Rhinolophus ferrumequinum: one gene and its partner. The protein of the gene in region 2 purifies or fractionates together with the protein of the main gene of each other region. This does not show direct contact. Links are inferred from orthologs where the notes say so. Each region holds a gene or a part of one and is shown on either strand. Other genes may lie near its edges. The genes, in order: AGO3 and TNRC6A.

Region 1 (9,000 bases), on a different chromosome or scaffold from region 2:
TCCTGTCCTCAGGAGATACTTGTAAAAGAATAAAATAAACAAACCTATTTTTGTTCCTAACCAGTGTCATAGATGGTGTTCCAGTGCACTCGATAGCACTTAGCAGCTTGCTCTCTTTATTTTCGTGTCTTGTTTCCCCCCTGAGCCTGTGAGCTCCTGGGAACAGAAACTACATCCTATCCATTTTTGCCATCTTAGGTCCCATAGCATGTATTTGTGAATATAATTGAAATGAGCTAGAAATCTGTAGTTCATGCATACAGGGGGTTGGGGGCGGGGAATCAAAAGGTGATATTGAGTGCATAGGATGGACTCAGCATTTCTGAATCTTCAGGTAAGCAGAATCTTAACCATATTACCATCATTTCTCACTTTCACCCCAACTTGGAAGTTCTATGGCTTTTGTACCTTAAGCTGATGGTACAGTTGTCAAGCATGTAAGTTGTGGCATTCCTCCCTGCTAGTGCTAGCGTTGTTGTTCTATGGGAAGATTGCTCAGAGGAGGATTCTGGCACAGGGCCCAGTGAGAAATTTTCAGTGGCAGCTATTATGTACATAAGTGGGCCCTAACATTCCCCTGGAGGCCAAGTGTTGTGACTCTTCAAATTGCAGAGCTAACCTGTGGCTACCACCTGACAAATTCCCTTGGGAGCAAGCCAGCCAGACTGCATGCTCCTTTTTAGAAGTGAGGGTGAGTGGGCTTGGTTGTACTTTAAATGCAAATTGGAACATGGGGGAGATTTTTCCCAATTGAAATAAGACTTAAAATAAATTTATGACCCTTAGTAAAGCAGAAGTAGTTAGCAGAGCAAGGAGGAGGATGATCATTACGGCCCTTTTTTTCTTTTGCCATACATTTCAATTTTATTAATGATTGATGTTAAAAAAGGTTTCACGATTTGCCTGTTGGTTGCTGCTCAAGAGAAAAAGATGATGGGAGCCCAAGGCCTGATTTGTCTGGTCCTGGAGCCTAAGGTATTAAGTTAAGGGTTGTCCTAGCACCCTGGATATCCCTTTGCAGTATTGGTGGGGCAGCCTTCCCTCTGCCCTGTCATTCAGCAACATGTATTGTAGCACGTTTTTATCTAGCAAGTGGCTTGGAGCAGAGTGAGAGTGGGTATTTGTTGGATATCTCTTGGCTTAGCAGACCCCGAATCTCGTGGCAGTTAGGGTTTGAGGGCTAAAGGAAAGGGTTACAGTACAAAGAGAAGACTATTTTCAAGTTCTGAGTCTGGGCAATTTCCAGACTGTTGCATGTACTGTTTGAATGGCAAGTCGCATTGAATTGTCGCAAATAGCTCTCCCTGTTTCTAGCTTTCAAGACATTTATTCCTCTGGCTATCAGCTGAGGAAACCTGGCAAGCTTAGAAATGCAGAGCATGAGAGAGGCACTCCTGTAAAGCAGCTATGTCAAGGAGTAGCTGGAAAAGTGGACTTGCTGGGGACAAGGTACATTTTAGAAGTTCTTCACTTGAGCACCATGACTATCTTCCCCAGGATGCCATATCGAGGTTTTTTAGGCCAGCGTGGCTTGCCCTGCAGGAACACATTGTCCTCTGCTCTGGACTGCAGCAGCTTCACCACTATCTTCTTGGCGGTGTCCTTTTGGGACAGAAATCTGAGGGACCTTTCTAAGGAGCCCTCCATCCCTCGTCCCCACCTATTGAAGGCAAGTAACTTTCTTAAAGGAGGCAGTAGGAGATCCCAGCCAGTTTTTTTGAAAAAGCTTATGGATTGTTAATGGAAGTGAACTGAAAAAGGAGGCTTGGGAACTTTGAAGTATTTGGCTAGGTGTTTTGTACAGTATCTGTTTATCTTATTTAATTGCATCAGCACAGCATTCATGTGGAGTGATTTATCAATTACCTTCAGTTGCATATAACAAAACTCCCATTAAGTTGGCTTAAATAAGGAAACTAGTACATGACAAGATGTCCGGATTTAATATGGCCCCAAGGTTGATTAATTCAGTGGCTCAATGATAAAACCAACAAACCAGGTTCTTGCAGTCTTTTTGTTCTGCTATCCTCTATGTTGGTTTACCCTCATGCTAGTTCACCTAAGGGTCCCAGATGGCTTCCATAATTCCAGGAAGGAAATGCGGACAAAACAGTGTCTTGCAGAAGAGGGACTAAGTTTTTCCAATGTTTCATGTAAAGTAAGAAAATCCTTGGAAGCCCCAGCTGATCTGGCATAATGTCTCATTTGCTAGAACTGGGTCATCTTCCCACTCCTGTCATTGGCAAAGCAAATAAGATCATCCATCATGAGTGGCTTAATTAGGAGTTACCTCTAACTTGTGTGGCTTAGAAAGAAAGGCAAATCATGTCTGTTAGACAAGAAAGAAGGGCTGTTGGGTAGGTATCCAGCAGTGTCTGCTCTACTCAAGTCCTCTGGTTTTTACAGAGGAGGAATATGAGGCTCAGAGTGACTTTCCTAGGATCACAGATAGTAGCAGAGGGCCTGCAGTCTCAGCTCTGAGTGTCCCTAAAGCCAGTATGTTTTATACTGTGTCCTGCTGCAGTACAAAGTACAGCAGACCCTTGAACAACACAGGTTTGAACTTTGTAGGTCCACTTATGTGCGGATTTTTTTCAATACATATACAGTCGGCCCTGTGTATCCCCCCAGGTTTTACGTCCGTGGATCCAACCAGCTGTGGACCAAAAACAGTATTTTCAGTCCCTGGTTCAGAGTCCATGGATGTGGAAAGCACACTACATGTTCTACACCATTTTATATAAGGGACTTGCGCATCCTTGGATTTTGGTGTCCACAGGGTCCTGGAGCCAATCACTCCAGGTCCTGAAGGATATCTCTAGTTAAGTTTTTGAGGAGCTAAAAGTCATACATAGGTTCTCAACTCCCTGGGAGTCAGCACCCCTAACCTCCGTGTTGTTCAGGGGTCAACTCTAGCTTTCTGCTGTTTAAAAACTGGTCTAGGAGAAGAGATTTGAACCCAAGTGTCAAGTCCACTACAGCTCATGGGAGAGGAGAGGATTCTCTCCAGTTGTTCTCATCCAGAAATGATGTGTGTAGCACAGAAAGCCTAGGGATGCACCTTTCAGCAAGCATTGATTTCCTTTCCCCTGAGATTTCTCTATTTTGTAGTTCTCCCTTCTGAGAGCAACCAGTGCCACGTCAGATGAGGGCAGAGTTTTAGCCTGCTTCCTGAGCCCCATTCTTGAAGCCCACTCATTTATTCATGCATCCCACAAGTATTTACAGAATGTCGATATGTGCCAGGCACTGGCACTGTTGTAGGCACGGGCTATGACAGTTAACAAGATGCACAATGGCACTGTTCTATGCCCTTAAGAACAGACTCCTTTGGGAATGAGGGTATTCAAAACTAGTGTGTGCACGTGGTCAGGGGAAAGCCTCATACAACTTTGCTTTTGGCAGAATCATTCAAACGTTTTTTGCCTTCCCACTTCCTGATACTATAATTCATGAACCTTTCACTTGGGCCTGTTCTGAAGAGGTGGGGGTCCCTGGATAGCAGAAGTAGGTGGGAAGGCATCATTGACATTTATTAAACTGGATCTAATTAGAAAGTCCAAATCCTGCTTCATCAATGTCAGCAAAGAAGACAGTGGCCCACCTCCAGGGTTCATCACCGTCAACATGTTTATTCTGGGAGATGCCGAAGAAGCCTGCAGTCACTTGAGGAACCAGTTCTAGAATTGGGGGTTGAAGGTGTGCTAGACCTTTGCACAACAGTTGGTATTTACCCTGTCAGATGCTGCTATAGATTTGGATTTGTCTAGTCAAGGATTGAAAATAACTTTGAAGATACAGTGTTTCATCTGGTGACATTTAATTTGATATTTTAAAATTGGGGAGGGCATTTTCAGTAAATGGGTTATGGATGGGAAGGAAAAAGAGAGAAAGAAGTGGTATCAGATGTGGGTTTGAATCCCACCCATTTATGAAGTGTTTACAGTATGTGTATCTAGTAAGTGCTTTAAAATGGTAAATACAGTAAATACTTTTTTATTCACTAACATTTAGGGAGGGTTTTCTGTGCTTTATGCACATTCCCTAATCTCACAACTACTATAAGGTACATATTCTCTCCAGTTTTCAGAAGAGGAACCTGAAGCCAGGAGGCTCAAGTGATTGATCCAAAGTCCCAGTGATTGAAGGGGGGGGAAGGGGATGATTTAAGATAGGATACTTTCTCTCCTTTTCCTCTTTGTCCCAGCTTTTAAAAAAAGAATGTACTTTGATTTTTTAAAGTCTAAACAACATTACTACTGATGGTTAGGAACATAGGGAAAAGTCATGAATCATTCAGCCTGAGTAAAATAGTATCACCTTTCATTAAAGGAAACAAATATTAAGGACCTACTATTTGCCAGTTAATGTGCTTGTCCTAGTAACCTAATCTTACATACTATTGGTAGAGGGGGCACACAATAAACTAGTAAAAACAAATTACAGATTAGAACAGGATTATTAAGGAAATACTGTAATAGAAAAACGGGTGCCCTCCCATAGCCGAAAAAGCCTAAGTCTTAAATTGAGGTGTAAAAAGGAGGGGCGGGGTGGAGAGAAAGAAGAGGGTTCCTTGCCGAGGGAACTGAAAGCTGAGAGACTCCCAATAGCAAAAAGAAGCGCTTTGCCCGTTGGGGGAGTTAGACCAGCATAGCTGTAGCATAGTGAAGTCTTGCTTGAAGAGAAAAGCTGGGCCCCCGTCACACAGTGCGTTTGGGCCCTGGAGAGGAGTTTGGGTCTTAGTGTGACGAGACACTATTAAAGAGTTTTAAACATGGAAATTATTCGATCTGATGTTTGTGTAATGTCCTGGTTCTTAATCTTCTCCCAAGCTAAATTGTACATTTTACCCCCCAAATCGTCGTCAAAGAAACCCTGCGGACTTGGAGTGATCCACTGTAGTGGTTACTTGACCAACTAGTTGAGGAGGAGGCGCGTGGGGTCGCCCCAACTGGGCGTGGAGGGAGAGGCTCGGGAAGGAGGGTGGCCCTGCACCTTGACCAGCCTCGCTCCAGGTAGCTCCTCCCCAGGTAAGCGACACCGCCCTCCGCGACGTCGCAGGCAGGCAGGGCTCCGCACCAGGGTGGCCCGAGGAGCCCAGCCCCGCCGGGTCGTCTCCAGCCGGCACAGCCCAGCGGAGGCTCCGCCCCGCCCCGCTGCGCGTGCCCCAAGCTCCGCCCACGCTAGTCGCCCTCTCCCCACACCTCCCCTGCGTCCCCCGCGCCGGCCGCGTCCGCACCGACGTCGCGCCCGCACGGCTTGGGACGGAGAGGCGAGGCTTGGACGTCCGGCGAGCCGGGGCAGCGGAACTGACGCCAGCGGGCTTCCGGGGACGGCCCCGGGGGAGGTCGGCCGCGGCGCCGCAGTCGTGGAGGGGCAGCCCGAGCGTCAGCGGCCGCGGGCGACGCAAGTTCCGCACCGCGCTCCCCTCTCCTCGCCTCACGCTTCTCCTTCCTCTCGCCTAGTGGCGTGCTGCCTCCCGACGGCGGCTCTTCCTGACGAGAGCTTTCGGAGCGCGCTCGCTGAGAGGAAGCGGTCGCCACCCCGCCTCGGGGCCGAGTGAGAGTGCCTGTCGCGCCGCGTCGCCCCCTTCGCCGCCTCCTTGCCCCCCAGTGGCGGGCGCCCTTCTCGCTGGAAGCACTCCCCCCAGCTCCATGAATGGAAATCGGCTCCGCAGGTGAGTGTGTCCCATGCTGGCCCGGTCGGTGGGGGTGTCCCCAGAGCATCGTCGCTCCCTCAGCCTCGGCCCCGTCGCGCGAGGTGAGCGCCGTCCGGGCGGCTCCCCCTCGCCGACCCCCGCTCGGCCCCTCCTCCGCCTTCCCGCAGCCCCGCCGCAGTTCCCGGGAGCCACTGAATTGGCGACCCGGCGGGGAGGGGACACTGCTGAGAGGATTGAAGTTTGGGGTTCTCTAGTCGATAGTGCTCTTCTTTTCCTGGGGTCTAGAAGGGTTTGCCATCGCTTTTGTTATTCCGGTTGGAGGTGTAACGGTGTGCGTGTCCTTTTAACTGGGTTGTGTGTCCCGTAGAGGCGCTGGGCAGGTAGCTCTCTCCCTTTCTTACCTCTGAAGGTAGTTGTGAAGATAACTGTGAGATAACAGATGAGGATTAAGTTTGAAATAGGTTTTAGTGCAACGTCAAATGCAAGATGACATTTCTCCCATCCCCGAGTTCTCTTCTGATGTTTGTAGCAGCGTGTTATGTAGTTCCTGAGGATCTTGGAAATGTCATATCAGCCTGGATCTCTGCTTATGTGAGGAGGTGGATCTTAAAATTGCTGACAGTATATTCTTTCATTCTCTATTCCCTAGAGGTTCGGTTGTCATATTCCTGGAAATTTGGAATGAAGAAAACTTTCTCTCCTTGTAAAAGGGTAGCCTTGAGAAAAAAATCGCAACTTGGACAGTACTTATTTGAAAGGAAAAAGAGCACTATGGTTCTAAAGTAATTAATTGAGGGACATAAAGTAGATGTTACATAACGGCTTGTTTTCCAAAGGAGCATTCATACTTGGTGTGTTAAATTTGAAAGTATGTTTCATCCAGTCACAGATTTATAAATTAATTTTCAAAATATTGGTGGTGGTGGTGGGCGTATTGTGACTAATGGTATCCCAAGTCCCTGAATTTCACATCATAGTTTGCTAGTTTGGGAGATATCTGAATATGAGATAAGAAAAACTTATGTAAAAGAAACCAGTGACATAATGATAAAGAATTTGTTAATTAGGTTAAGGAGTATAATTTTCAAGTAGATGCAGAAGCACTCAAATTATAGAGGTTGCGACAGGGTGAGAGGTTTATTACAAGTTTTATTATATGGAATTTTTAACTTTCTACTATACTCTTTACGGAATGTGATGATTTGGGGTTATAGGTGATTTTTATATAACTGTCCTGTTGTCAAGCCTGGAAAACAAAACATGAAAGTTAAACACTTTATTAATCATTCTAAAACTTTTAAAGATATGTCAAAAAAAAATTTTGAAGCTTTTTTTCCTTTGTCTTCTTTGGTTTTTTTACATGAAATTATGCCCAAATATATAGACATCTTAGAAAATTCTTCCGAAGTCAAACCACCTAACCAACTGATCCAGCTAGCCAAGTATGATTCAGTAAACGCTCCTGTGAATTCTTGAGCTAAGAATTGGACATCTTGAAATGCAGTTTATTATTCAGTGTAGTTTATACATAAGTGACTCTAATCTAATAAGGAAGATAAAGTACAATTTAGCTCAAGTTTGTCATCATTAAAAACAAAGTTTTCGTTTTTCCTGAAACTTATATGCAATTGTTAAATTACACATGAAATTGAAAGCATTGTTGGGAAAAATGTGCAACTAAGTTTTAAATAAAGAATTTGACAAGTACATACTCTGGTTTAAAAATTTTAGATGTAAATGTTCTCTACTAGGCTATTAAGTCAGTGTTGGATCTTGGCTCTCCAATTCTGTTCCAAGTTTTTCTTTTGTGTGGAGATTCTTAGAAATCATCTTATGACAGGATATTTTAAAATCTAGTCCTTAGGTGGATACATAGAAAACTTAAATTTATTTATATTAGAGGACTTTGAATACAAATACTGTAGTTTCTTGGTGAATCATCCCTCACTAAAAGTTATTTATCTGTTCTTCCCTTTTGCATGAAATATTTTAAGTGATTTTTAAGGGTGTCCTGTTCAATCTACTGATCTAGTGCTGTGTGAACTTTGATTTAACCCAAAAAGCTGCCACAATTGGTTTGTAAATAATAACAGTGTAGCATCTGTGCTTATGACTCCTTAGAGGAACTTCTGCTGAAACCCTATTTTTTATGGTTTAATTACAGCTGGGCTAAAAGTATATGTTATGTTTTAGTTCCAAATAGAGCGGGAATAGAGGAAGCAGAAATGTTCATTGAGATATCACTTCTCCAGAGTAGCTATTTTTTAGGACCTTAACTATTCTAGTCTGTATTTTTAGGTAAAGTCAGACTACTGTTTAGGGCAGACAGAATTGTACCTACCTTCCAATGGAAGAAAAACATTTACCTTACATTACTGTGCAAATAGATTTGACAGGTTTGGTAGTTGTCTTATACAATGTTGCAAAAGTGAATAGACTATGTTTCTGTCTTAGTTATACTTTGTGTTTGGATACTCTGCATTCTTGAACAATAAATATCAAGAAAAGTCATTTGAGAACAAGTTCCAAAAGAACAAAAATTTCATGTATGGAAGCTAGATTTAAATGAGGTAGAAAAAAGTGGGTTCAAAATACTAAAACAAATATAAGGCCATTAGGTTCTCAGTTGAATACTTAAACAATCTTTAATCACTTTGGAGAATGTTTTTATGATATAAATTTTTTCACTTGCATTTTTTTTGTCTTGGAAAAAAAAGTCAAACTGCTGCTCTGTCTGGAGGGCATTAATTTTGAACATGGAAAATGTTTTTCTACTTGGTTGTCACTTAAATTTTAGCTTGTGCTGCTTTGGAGTGGCCATTACATTATTTCCCCTAGTATTTGCTGCTTTTGCCTGGCAGTGGGACTTATAAAAATGTGCAAAATTATTTTGATTTTTGTTTTAGAATTTAATCTCTCTGACAGTGATGGAATACCCTGAGGGAAAATGAAAAAGGAAGCAAGAAATAACTTGTTTCTTCTAAACAGACTTAAAAGGAAAAAAAGAACATACATGTAACCCTCAAATATAATTCAGTTAACACCATGAAGACTTTTAAAAATTATCCATGATTCCATCACGCTGATATGACCACTTTTAAAATCTTTAAACCAAATTCCAAACTAATAAATCTATTACTTTAAAAAAATTTAAGAAATTAAGTAATTTAGGGGTTAGAATGAATGAAATGATTTCTAAATACTACTTCCTTTTGCTGTTTTGGAGAATTTTATGTATAAGTTGGTATTTTAGAATTAATTTCTGTTCATTTTTATTTTCCATTGTATTTGTTTGATTCTATAAGCCTACCCTGATGGTATATGCAAAGAGGCCTGGGGCC
Region 2 (9,222 bases):
TTTACAGAGCATATCAGGGGGAGAGGAACATATTAAATGCCACCCTGAGCAAGCCGTCACCAAAGCCTACTTTGGGACAATGCAGAGGACAGAGCACCTTCTTTCTTCAATACAAAATGTCAAAGGGGCAAAAAGGAGACAAAGGAGGAGCCTGGAAATCACAAAAGACGGAAGAGACACGTTAACCAACTGCCAGGCTGGGAGCTTGTTCGGATCCCATTCAAACAAACAAATGACAAATGAAACAGCATGACAACTGCAAATATGTGAACATTAGCTGGGTACCAGGTGGTCATAAGGATTTGTTCTTCATTTTATTGGGAAGCAGCAATGGTGCAGTGGTTATGTTTAAAAGGGGGACCCTTGCCTTTCAGTGTCTACAGATGAAACGAAATCAGTCTAAGATTTAATTCGAAGGAATCCCTAGTGGGAGGGACGGTGTCAAGAAACAGAGATTGGTCAGGAGTTGAAAATTACCGGAACAAACGATGGCATGCTGGCCTTCACGACATTTCAATATGTTTGAAATTTTGCACGTGAAACATTAAAACAAAATAAAAACCAGGGCAAACAATAAAGGAAGTTTTGCTAAATGAAGATCTGTTTGGAAAGGAACACTTGGGTTTCATTCCCTTCTCACCCCACTCAAATAGCACCTCTTGTTTCCCACCAGACCACCTTGATCACTGCTTCCGGGGCTTTCGTTTCTTACCCAGCACCTGGGGACCTGGTTAAAGTGCAGATTCGGCTCCGGCAGGCCTGGGGCCAAGCCTGAGTGTCTGCATGTCTAGCCAGCCGCCAGGGGATGCTGAGATCACAGGTTCACCTCATCATAACCTCCGCCCACCGAGCCGACCATGCATTCGTTCTCCGCGGCCCATCCTGGCAACCTTCTGCTTCCAGTCTGTGGCTTGACAAGCACGTCCTTGTCGCCCAGACCAGCACCCTCGCCCTCTGGTCTTCAGTGGAATTTGTGCAGTAAAACTCCCGCCCAACAGATGCTACCAACTCCAGGGGCTCGAGCCCAAGCACTTGGACGACACGGGAGAAAACCACCCATCGCGTGCTCTCTGTTCTCTGTCCAGCAGCCCTCCTCCTTTCTTGACGGCGCTTGTTTCTCCCTCTCCCAGATACTCTCTTCTTCCCTCCTCCTATCTTTCTCTGCTAATGACCTCGCCTCATGCATTATTGTGAAAACAAATGCTGACAGGAAATGCTTCATCCTTTCAACACCGAATCTACAAGCTTTCATGGATCAGCGCGACCTTTTTTCTCATTATTCCCTCCTATAAAAAGTAAAAGTCTGTCATCACCGACCACTCACACACGCTGGATGCCATTCGCTCTGTCCCTTTCGACCGACTGCTCCAATAGTTTACACAATCAAAAGGCTCCTGTTATTGTTTTGTTTTACGGCAAATGTACAAGCAGACAGTTGCCCTGGCCCCGACCCGTCCCCAAACACTGCCTGGTTTCCGTTATTCCGGTCACAGTTTATTTACCCTCCTTCACTCCTGAACCCACTCCCACCGGGTTTCCATCCTCACCACCTCACCAGAATCGCTCGTATCAAAGCCTTCAGCTACCTCCACATTGCCAAGTCAGACAGACACTTTTCTGCCTTCAATGTTCTCAGTGTCTCAGCAACATGTGACCCAGTGGATAGGATGCTTGAGGTTTTTCCTGCTCTCGTCCCGACACCATCACCCAAAGAATGTTCTAATCAACTCCTTAGGAAATCCTATCACTAACCTTGCCTCTGTCCCTTTTCTTCAGCTCCATCGGCTTGGCTTGTTACTTCTACCTCTTAAAACAGGTTTCGAGTCTGTCCACTCCCATTCCATCCCCACTATACGCACATAAGCGAAAGTGCCTCCTAGGTCCCAAACAAGCCATCTACCTCCTTCCCTCGGAGTCTTTGCACGTGCTCTCGCCTCGTCTGGGACCCTTCAACACACTCCGAGGTCCATGTGGCCCAAATTTCATCCCAGGGTAACAATCGCACAAGTCTTCCTGGACTCCACGTCAGGCCCAGGTGACCCTGAGAGAAGAGAAGGGACACTTCTACACCACATTCCTGACACCCTCCTGATCCCTGTCCAAAACCGGTGCTCAGGCTCCCACGTGTTCTAAGCAGAAAACAGTCTGACATACGGCCAAGTCTAAGTTCATCTCCAATCACAGCAAAATCGGCTCCAGGCTTTCTCCTGGCTTTCAGCTCCTCCCATAAGAGAGGAAGACTGGAGCCAGCTCCCCATTTTGAATTCACAGTAGGCTGGGAACAAATAGATACAATATTTTGTAGCTCCCTGGTCGAGAGGTGTATCTCGCCATCCCTCGATCATGTGACTTGTCTAGGCCAATGGGACACTAGCAAACGATGGAAGCAGCTGCTTGAAACGTGCTTGTGCATTGGGGCACCCCCTCTCTTGCCACTTTTGGAACCCAGCCACCATATGAAGAAGACTGAGCTGGCTGGCTCCATAGGGAGACACGTGGCCCGGGCAATTTCAATTGCACCTGCTAATCAGGAGACACATGAGTGAGACCACCTAAGACCACCCCCCTGCAGCCAGAGGCACAGGAGGGAACCCAGTCGGGGTAAAGAAGAAGAAGGACCGTCCTGACTGCCAGCTGCCAGCATAACGAGCTATCGGTGTCTGCGGTGTCCAGCCCCTACGTTTGGGGTGGTTTGCAATATCGCCAAAATGAACGTATACACCTCTAGAAGTCGTCTCATGTTGCAGGTGTGGTTGTGCTACTTCCCTAGTTAAAATGCTTTCATCATTGCTCACTGATCCTACGGTGAGACCCAAGCAAGTCACTTAGTAAGACCTACAGAGACCCACAGAATCTGATGTGCTCAGCCCTGGGACTCAGCTGGCCCCAGTTCGGCCCTCACGGCCCTCACACATGCCATTCCCTCTGTCCGGACTATTCTTCCCGGCTCTTCACCTGGCGGACTCTCAGGTCACAACTTAAATATGACATGAGCAGAGGGGGCTCCTTTGGCCAGCTGGCCACCTTGGGCCCCCACAGAAGTATGTGTCCAGTTCTATATCCTCGTGGCACCCTACTATTTCCTCTGTGGCCAATACCCCCGTTTGAAATACCACCCTGCCTGGGTGATGGCGTGTTTCTGAGCTGCCTTCTCTACGGCACCATGAACTTGGCAAGGACACCGTGTCTGCTTTGCTCATAGAGGCAGCCCAACGTTTGCACGCTAACTGTCACATAGCCGGGCAGTCGAAAGTTTTTGAGGCAGGTCTTCTTCGTGGTCAGCTGTGCAGGCTCTGGATAAGAGCTGCCTGAGCTCCACCCCTTACTAGCTAGTGACCTGCTTCATGCCTCAGTCTCCCCACCTCTAACAAGGGGGTAAAAATAGCACCTACCTCCCCCCCCTTGAGCTGTTGGGTGCCTTGTGCTCAGTAATTGTTAATTATTTCTTGCCGAGTGAAGGCAGCATATCTGGACAACAGTGAATCAGAGGCTTCTGCAGCCAACAAAGTGCTTGCTGCGTGGCTGTGGACACTGCCGTGATCGCATGCGCCTCGGCCACCGCTCTGCCTCGTCCTGCCAACGTGTGGCCCCGAACTCTGAGCCAGCTCTGTGACACGCGGCCCAGGAGCCTGCAAGCACTGAGCGCGGCTGCTGCCTCCTGCGTTCTCCCGTGGGGAGTCCACATCCGGGGTCAGGGAGCAGCGTCCCCCAACAGCTGTAACTGCCCCTCCTGGTCCCCTAGCTCAGCTGGATCTGGAGCCCACGAACATCCACCCAAGAAACACATCTGACGGCGCCACAAAATGTGTCAATCAGCCTGAACACGTGCGTGCGCGAGCACCACGGGCACTGGGCCATCTCCGCGGTCTCCGCGCGAGAAACGTTTCACGAGGGGCAGCTGGCACAGCTTCAGTCCCCAAGTGCTCAGAAGCTGTCCTTGCAGGTTCTGGATGGAAAGAACATGAAGACCTAGGTGTCCAAGAAAATAAATGTAAGAGACGAAGGGGAGAGGACCTCGTCAGAAAAGCAGTGAGAGAGGAGAGAGGGAAAGTGGGGCCGACGAAAAAGAGAGAAACAAGACGTGGGGTGGAGAGGGAGACGGTGAGGGCAGGGGAGACCTCAGCGAGATGCGTGGGGGGGCCGCGCGGGCCACGGCCGCGCGGGCGCAGGAGCCCGGCAGCGCGGAGGGGCCGGGCCGCCCTGGCCCCGGGCAGGGCCCCGCCGGGGTGCCCTGTACGCAGCGTCACCGCTCCCCGCTCAGCGTGCGGTCACTTACCAGCCTGGGAGTCCGCGGGCTGCAGAATGACGGGCACGGCTCCGGGACGCTCCCTGCAGCTCCAGGGACGCGGTGCTCACAGGCTAGCGGGCGCGGGACGACGGGACTTCCATCCAGCCGGGCTCCAGCCCCGAGGTGGGGAGAGCCAGGCCGAGAGGCAGCGGACAGGAGGGGGACCTGCTGGTGTGTTTGTGTTTAAATTGTTTTCGAGCCCACGTAGCCCCGAGTCACATGCTGCCTCCACCATCACCGGACTCATCACGTGATACAGGTCCCCCGTCACGTGACGAGACGAGTCTGCCTAACTTCGGCCCCCGCCCCCACCTCCAGCTCACAAGCTGACAGATAAAGTGTTTCTGGAGGGGGCCCCCTACCCCCAAAACGCAGTGGTAGAGGGACGGATGCAGATGGAGACCCCTGGAGCCCCTGCAACGCTAAGATCTGGGTAATCGCTCTGCTGCGTCTCCCCCTCCCCCCAGCTTCTGCGACTTGGAGCAGTGCCAGCCCCATCCGATTCCCAGCCTTTGTGAATAACCCAAGTCTCGCCACCGCGGGCCCAGCAACTGCAGGGCGTTTGAGCTCACACCATTCCGCCTCGTTCTGGAAAGCCTGACTCTGGCTGCTCCCCACCCCGCCCCCACCCCTTACCCCCACCACTTCCAAGCCGCCTGAGCAGTGGGAGTGGGCGGCTGTGGGGGCTGAGCAGCTGCGGGACACGGGGCACCGCTCCCCCGAACCGTCCAGTCCCTTCTTCTTTTTTTTTGCATCTGCAGTAGGAGTCAGGTGGGGCCCCGCTGGCTCTGATGAGGCTGTTTCTAGCTATCGTAGCTCTGCTCTGTCTGCAGCTCTCCCTCTCTCTCTCTCTTCCTCTCCCTCTCTCTCTCTCTCTCTCTCTCTGCATTTCTAGTTTCTCTGCTCAATCAGGATACAGTTAAATAGATGTGGTTTAAAAATCTACTGGGCTTGTTTCCTCCCGTTCATTCATTCATTCCATCTCTTACTAACCAGATGTCCTGTAGAGCCGCCTGCTGTGTTGCAGGGCTGGTCCCAGGCACCAGGAAGGAGAGAGGGAGGAATGAGGTGTTAAAGAAATGTTAAAGAAATGCACACAGCAAGACGTCTGACCTTGAGGCACTGCGCTGTCTGTTAGAAGCAACAGAAACGTAAACAGACGTAGCAGATGCAAATTTGACAGTCAGATACTAACTCAGGCAGGCAAAAATGTAAACCCTTCTTCGTCTTGAGCCAAACTTCCTACATCCAGCCCCTCTGCCCCCATTCTGCCAAATATGAGACACTTAATCCAGTCACTTCCAAATAAACGCATCTGGGTGATTTAAAGTAAGTCAAATGAAAGATTTTTCTTCCGTCACTGTCCACCCTGGGGTTGAGTCTAAGCTCTGATACTCTCTCAAACTAGTAAACAAACTGTGCAGACCACTTTCCTGAGGAGGAGATCGTATAATTGTCACTCTGCAATTTGGGGGTCTGTTTGAGCAAAGGAGGCTCACGTGCAGGCAGCAGTGAAAAGGGCCTCTGAGAGGAAAAAGGGCCTTTTCCAAACCAGTTTTGTTCTATACCGTCCTATGCAATCATAGCAGACAAGGGGTCCCTGGCAGACCCAGCGGCCCGCCCCTGGGTCCACCTGTCCCAGGAAAATTAAGCATCTTTGTGGCTGAAGCCACTCTAGTCGGGTCTGTTACCACTTGTGCTGGACGCATCCTTGCGGAAGCAGCATCCCAGGAACCTGACAGCTGCTGGAGGGGCAGCGTCACTGGAGCTGTGGAGGTGGACGTCTGCAGATAGTGGGCCGAGAAGCAAGCTGGAAAGTCCTGTTCCTGACAATCTGGAGGACCAGATAACTGTGGAGAGCCTCTGGGTGAAATATATCAGACATTCGTTTAAGTGCATAGCTGAGCTCTCTAAATGGGCAGAAGAAATAGAGAACGGAGAGCTAAGCACGTGTGTTAACACTGTTATCAACCTGAGGGACTGGTGCTTGCTGGGAACCTGGAAGCCACAGGATGGGACCTCAGCAGGTGTCGGAGACACAGTCTCATGCCCGGGGAGCTGTGGCTGAAATCTCTACAGCAACGACAGCTCTTCAAGTGCTGTATCCTCAGTGAAAAAGTGGAACAGAAAAAAGTTTACCTTTACATCCAAGGAAACACAGAAGCCGCTGTGATTCGACCTAAAGTCTGGGTCAAGGAAAAAAGGACTCCTCTGACAATTAATAACCAAGGCCCATCCTCATGTGCCTTTGATATTTGAATATATACTACTTTTATGACCCAGGAATACCGACAATAAGAAATAACACGTAAAGAATGGAGCCTTGGCGAGGCAGACATAAAACTGACCCAGAGGCAAACTCCCTAGACCCAGGCCTCACAGAATTTCCACAGATTAAGTTCCTATTGCAGATGAGCTCATAATCCAAAATTATAAAACACCAGTTATAACACAGAAAGCACTAAGAGACAGAACAAGGACCAGGAGTAGACCCTATACATTTCATATAATAAAACAGTTGGATGGTGACTATTAACCCCAAAGCCACCACTAAAATAACACAATTGAGCCCTAGTTCATATGCCAACAGAGAAGATGAAATAAAATCATACAAATATTAATTTCATCTAAAAGAAAACAGATAAAAAAGGAAAAGGGGGAACAAAGAACATGATTTTAATCTATCTACATCAATAATCACATTCAATGTAAATGGTCTAAACACTCCATTTAAAAACAGAGATTGTCAGATTGAACCAACTGCATGCTAAAAGAAACCCATTTTAAACAGAAAATACAAATAGCTGAGAAAGAAGTGGATGGAAAAAGCTATCCCACGCTCACATTGGTCACAATAAAGCTGGAACGGCTCTGCTGCTACCAGCCATGGAGAGATGTCTACTATTAATTACTACAAGGGACAAAGGGGGGGATTTCATAATAACAAAGGATCAATAGCAATCCTAAACATTCATTCACCAAATAAGACAGCTTCAAAATACAGGAAACAGAAGTCACAGAACAGTAAGAAGAAACAGACAAATCCACCATTAAAGGCAGATATTTCAACATCCCTCTTTCAATACTTAATAGAACAACGAGATTGAAAACAAGTGAGGGTGTGGAAGACTTGAATACAACATTTTAACCAACTTCACCTAATTGACTTTTATAGGATGTTGCACCTAACAGCAGGATCCACATTCTCTTCCAATGCATACAGACGTCTACCAGGATAATCTTAGTCATAAAGCAAATCTCAATAAACTTAAATGGATTAAAATCATGCAAAGTATATTCTCTGATCAAAGTGAAATGAAATTGGAAATCAAAAACAGAAATAAGTCTGAAAAACCCCAAATATTTGGAAACGAAATAACATATTCCTAAATAATCCACGAAAGAAGCAAAAAGGAAATTAGAAAGAACTTTGAACTGAATTAAAATGAAACCAGCAGAGCACAAATAGATGTTACGTAAAGAAAAGGAAGAAGGAGAAGAAGAAAAAGTAAAAGGAGAAGAAAAAGACAAGACACAATTAAAAGACAGAAATTTTTTGGTTTAAAAAAAAAAGACAAATAACTCTCCCTCTATATGGGTGAATAAATGAAAAAAAAAGCTGTAATTCAAAAAGCAAACGACAATTATGTGGAGACTCACAGTTGCGTCCTCCTTCAGAAATAAATTAATTCTTCACAGACAACAACTGAAAGTTAGAATTGATGTCTATTTCATGTTCTCAGCAAGACTGACATGGGTTCTATGTAACTTGATCATAGTTGTCACAGAAAATGAGCAGCAAAGGAGGACAGAATGGACATGACAAGTGTGGTTTTGGGATTAAAGACACATAAAGGAGAAAGTGGATGGCAGGCTGCACACGCGGATGACTGAATTAGGGAATATAAATGGTGACTTCTTCCAATAGAAAGAGGAAACAGATAAAAAAATGACTTTTCTTAAAAAAACAAAAAGCTTATGGAAAAGGTATGTGGAAGACAAATCCCTTATCCACACCCTACAAAGTTACCAGAAGAGAGAATGAAATAGGTGGAGGAAGATGAGAAGAAATAAGGAAATGATGGAAGGAAAGTTTCCTGATCTAAGAGCGAACTTAGGCTGACCCAGGAGCCAGAAGTCACAAACCTAGAATGGCCTTGAAAACATAAGCAGCCCAGAAATTTACAGAATAGTGGGGAAAATGCTGACATTCTCCAGGCCCAATGTTCACTGATCGTGGAAGACGTGGCAAGCCCCAGCTGACATTTTAACAACACTCTTGTGGATAGAGGGCAGGGTGGAGGGATTCCAGTTAAACAAGCGTATTACAGGGATAAGAACGAGGGAAAAGGCATGAGCAAACAAGAACGAGGAGACGGGCAGAGGAAACGACAGCAGCAGCATTTTGGAAGATGACATGTCCTATGGCCAAGTGGCAACTGACCTAGCAGAGCAGAAATCAGAAGCCCAAAGCCAGGTTATCCTAACCCCAAGGCCCAGAAGGAATCAATGTGCAGGTGGCAGGTCCTACAGGAAGCGGAATTGTGGTCATGGCCACAGGCCGGGGACAAAGCAGCTCATTCTGGCAGAATGGAGGCCGCCTCTGGTCAATCAGACTGTGGCGCCCAGCCGTGGCTGCCTCCTGAGTCCCCTTGGGAGGTTGTAAAGGGCCACCCCCAGATGCAGTAACCAGAATCTCGGGGTGGCGTCCACACAGTCGTCAGCATTTTTACAAGCTCCCCGGAGAAGTCAGGAATGGCTGTAGGCAGGTGCTGTGCTGGAAACGGGTGAGGAAGTTTGTCTGTAAGTGAATGGAGCCCGCTGGACTCCACGTTCGTGTAGCCGGTTTCTTATACGGCACCTGCTCCGTCCCCTTCTGAAGAGTGGGGTGTCCTCTCTGGGGATATCAGCCCAAGGAAAATGCCTGGGAGACA

Evidence for each region.
Region 1: the proteins of TNRC6A (region 2) and AGO3 purify together in Homo sapiens (affinity purification with mass spectrometry; 7 studies listed by BioGRID and IntAct, with this or other methods). This does not show direct contact. The link is inferred for Rhinolophus ferrumequinum from reciprocal best matches to the Homo sapiens genes TNRC6A and AGO3.

What each region holds. Positions count from the first base shown.
Region 1 is NC_046292.1:24,944,691-24,953,690, forward strand, and holds the start of AGO3 (protein argonaute-3), read left to right. Parts: upstream 1-5,296; 5' UTR 5,297-5,654; coding exon of another isoform or gene 5,655-5,658; coding exon 5,659-5,677; intron 5,678-9,000.
Region 2 is NW_022680357.1:18,041,862-18,051,083, reverse strand, and holds the start of TNRC6A (trinucleotide repeat-containing gene 6A protein), read right to left. Parts: upstream 4,523-9,222; 5' UTR 4,277-4,522; intron 1-4,276.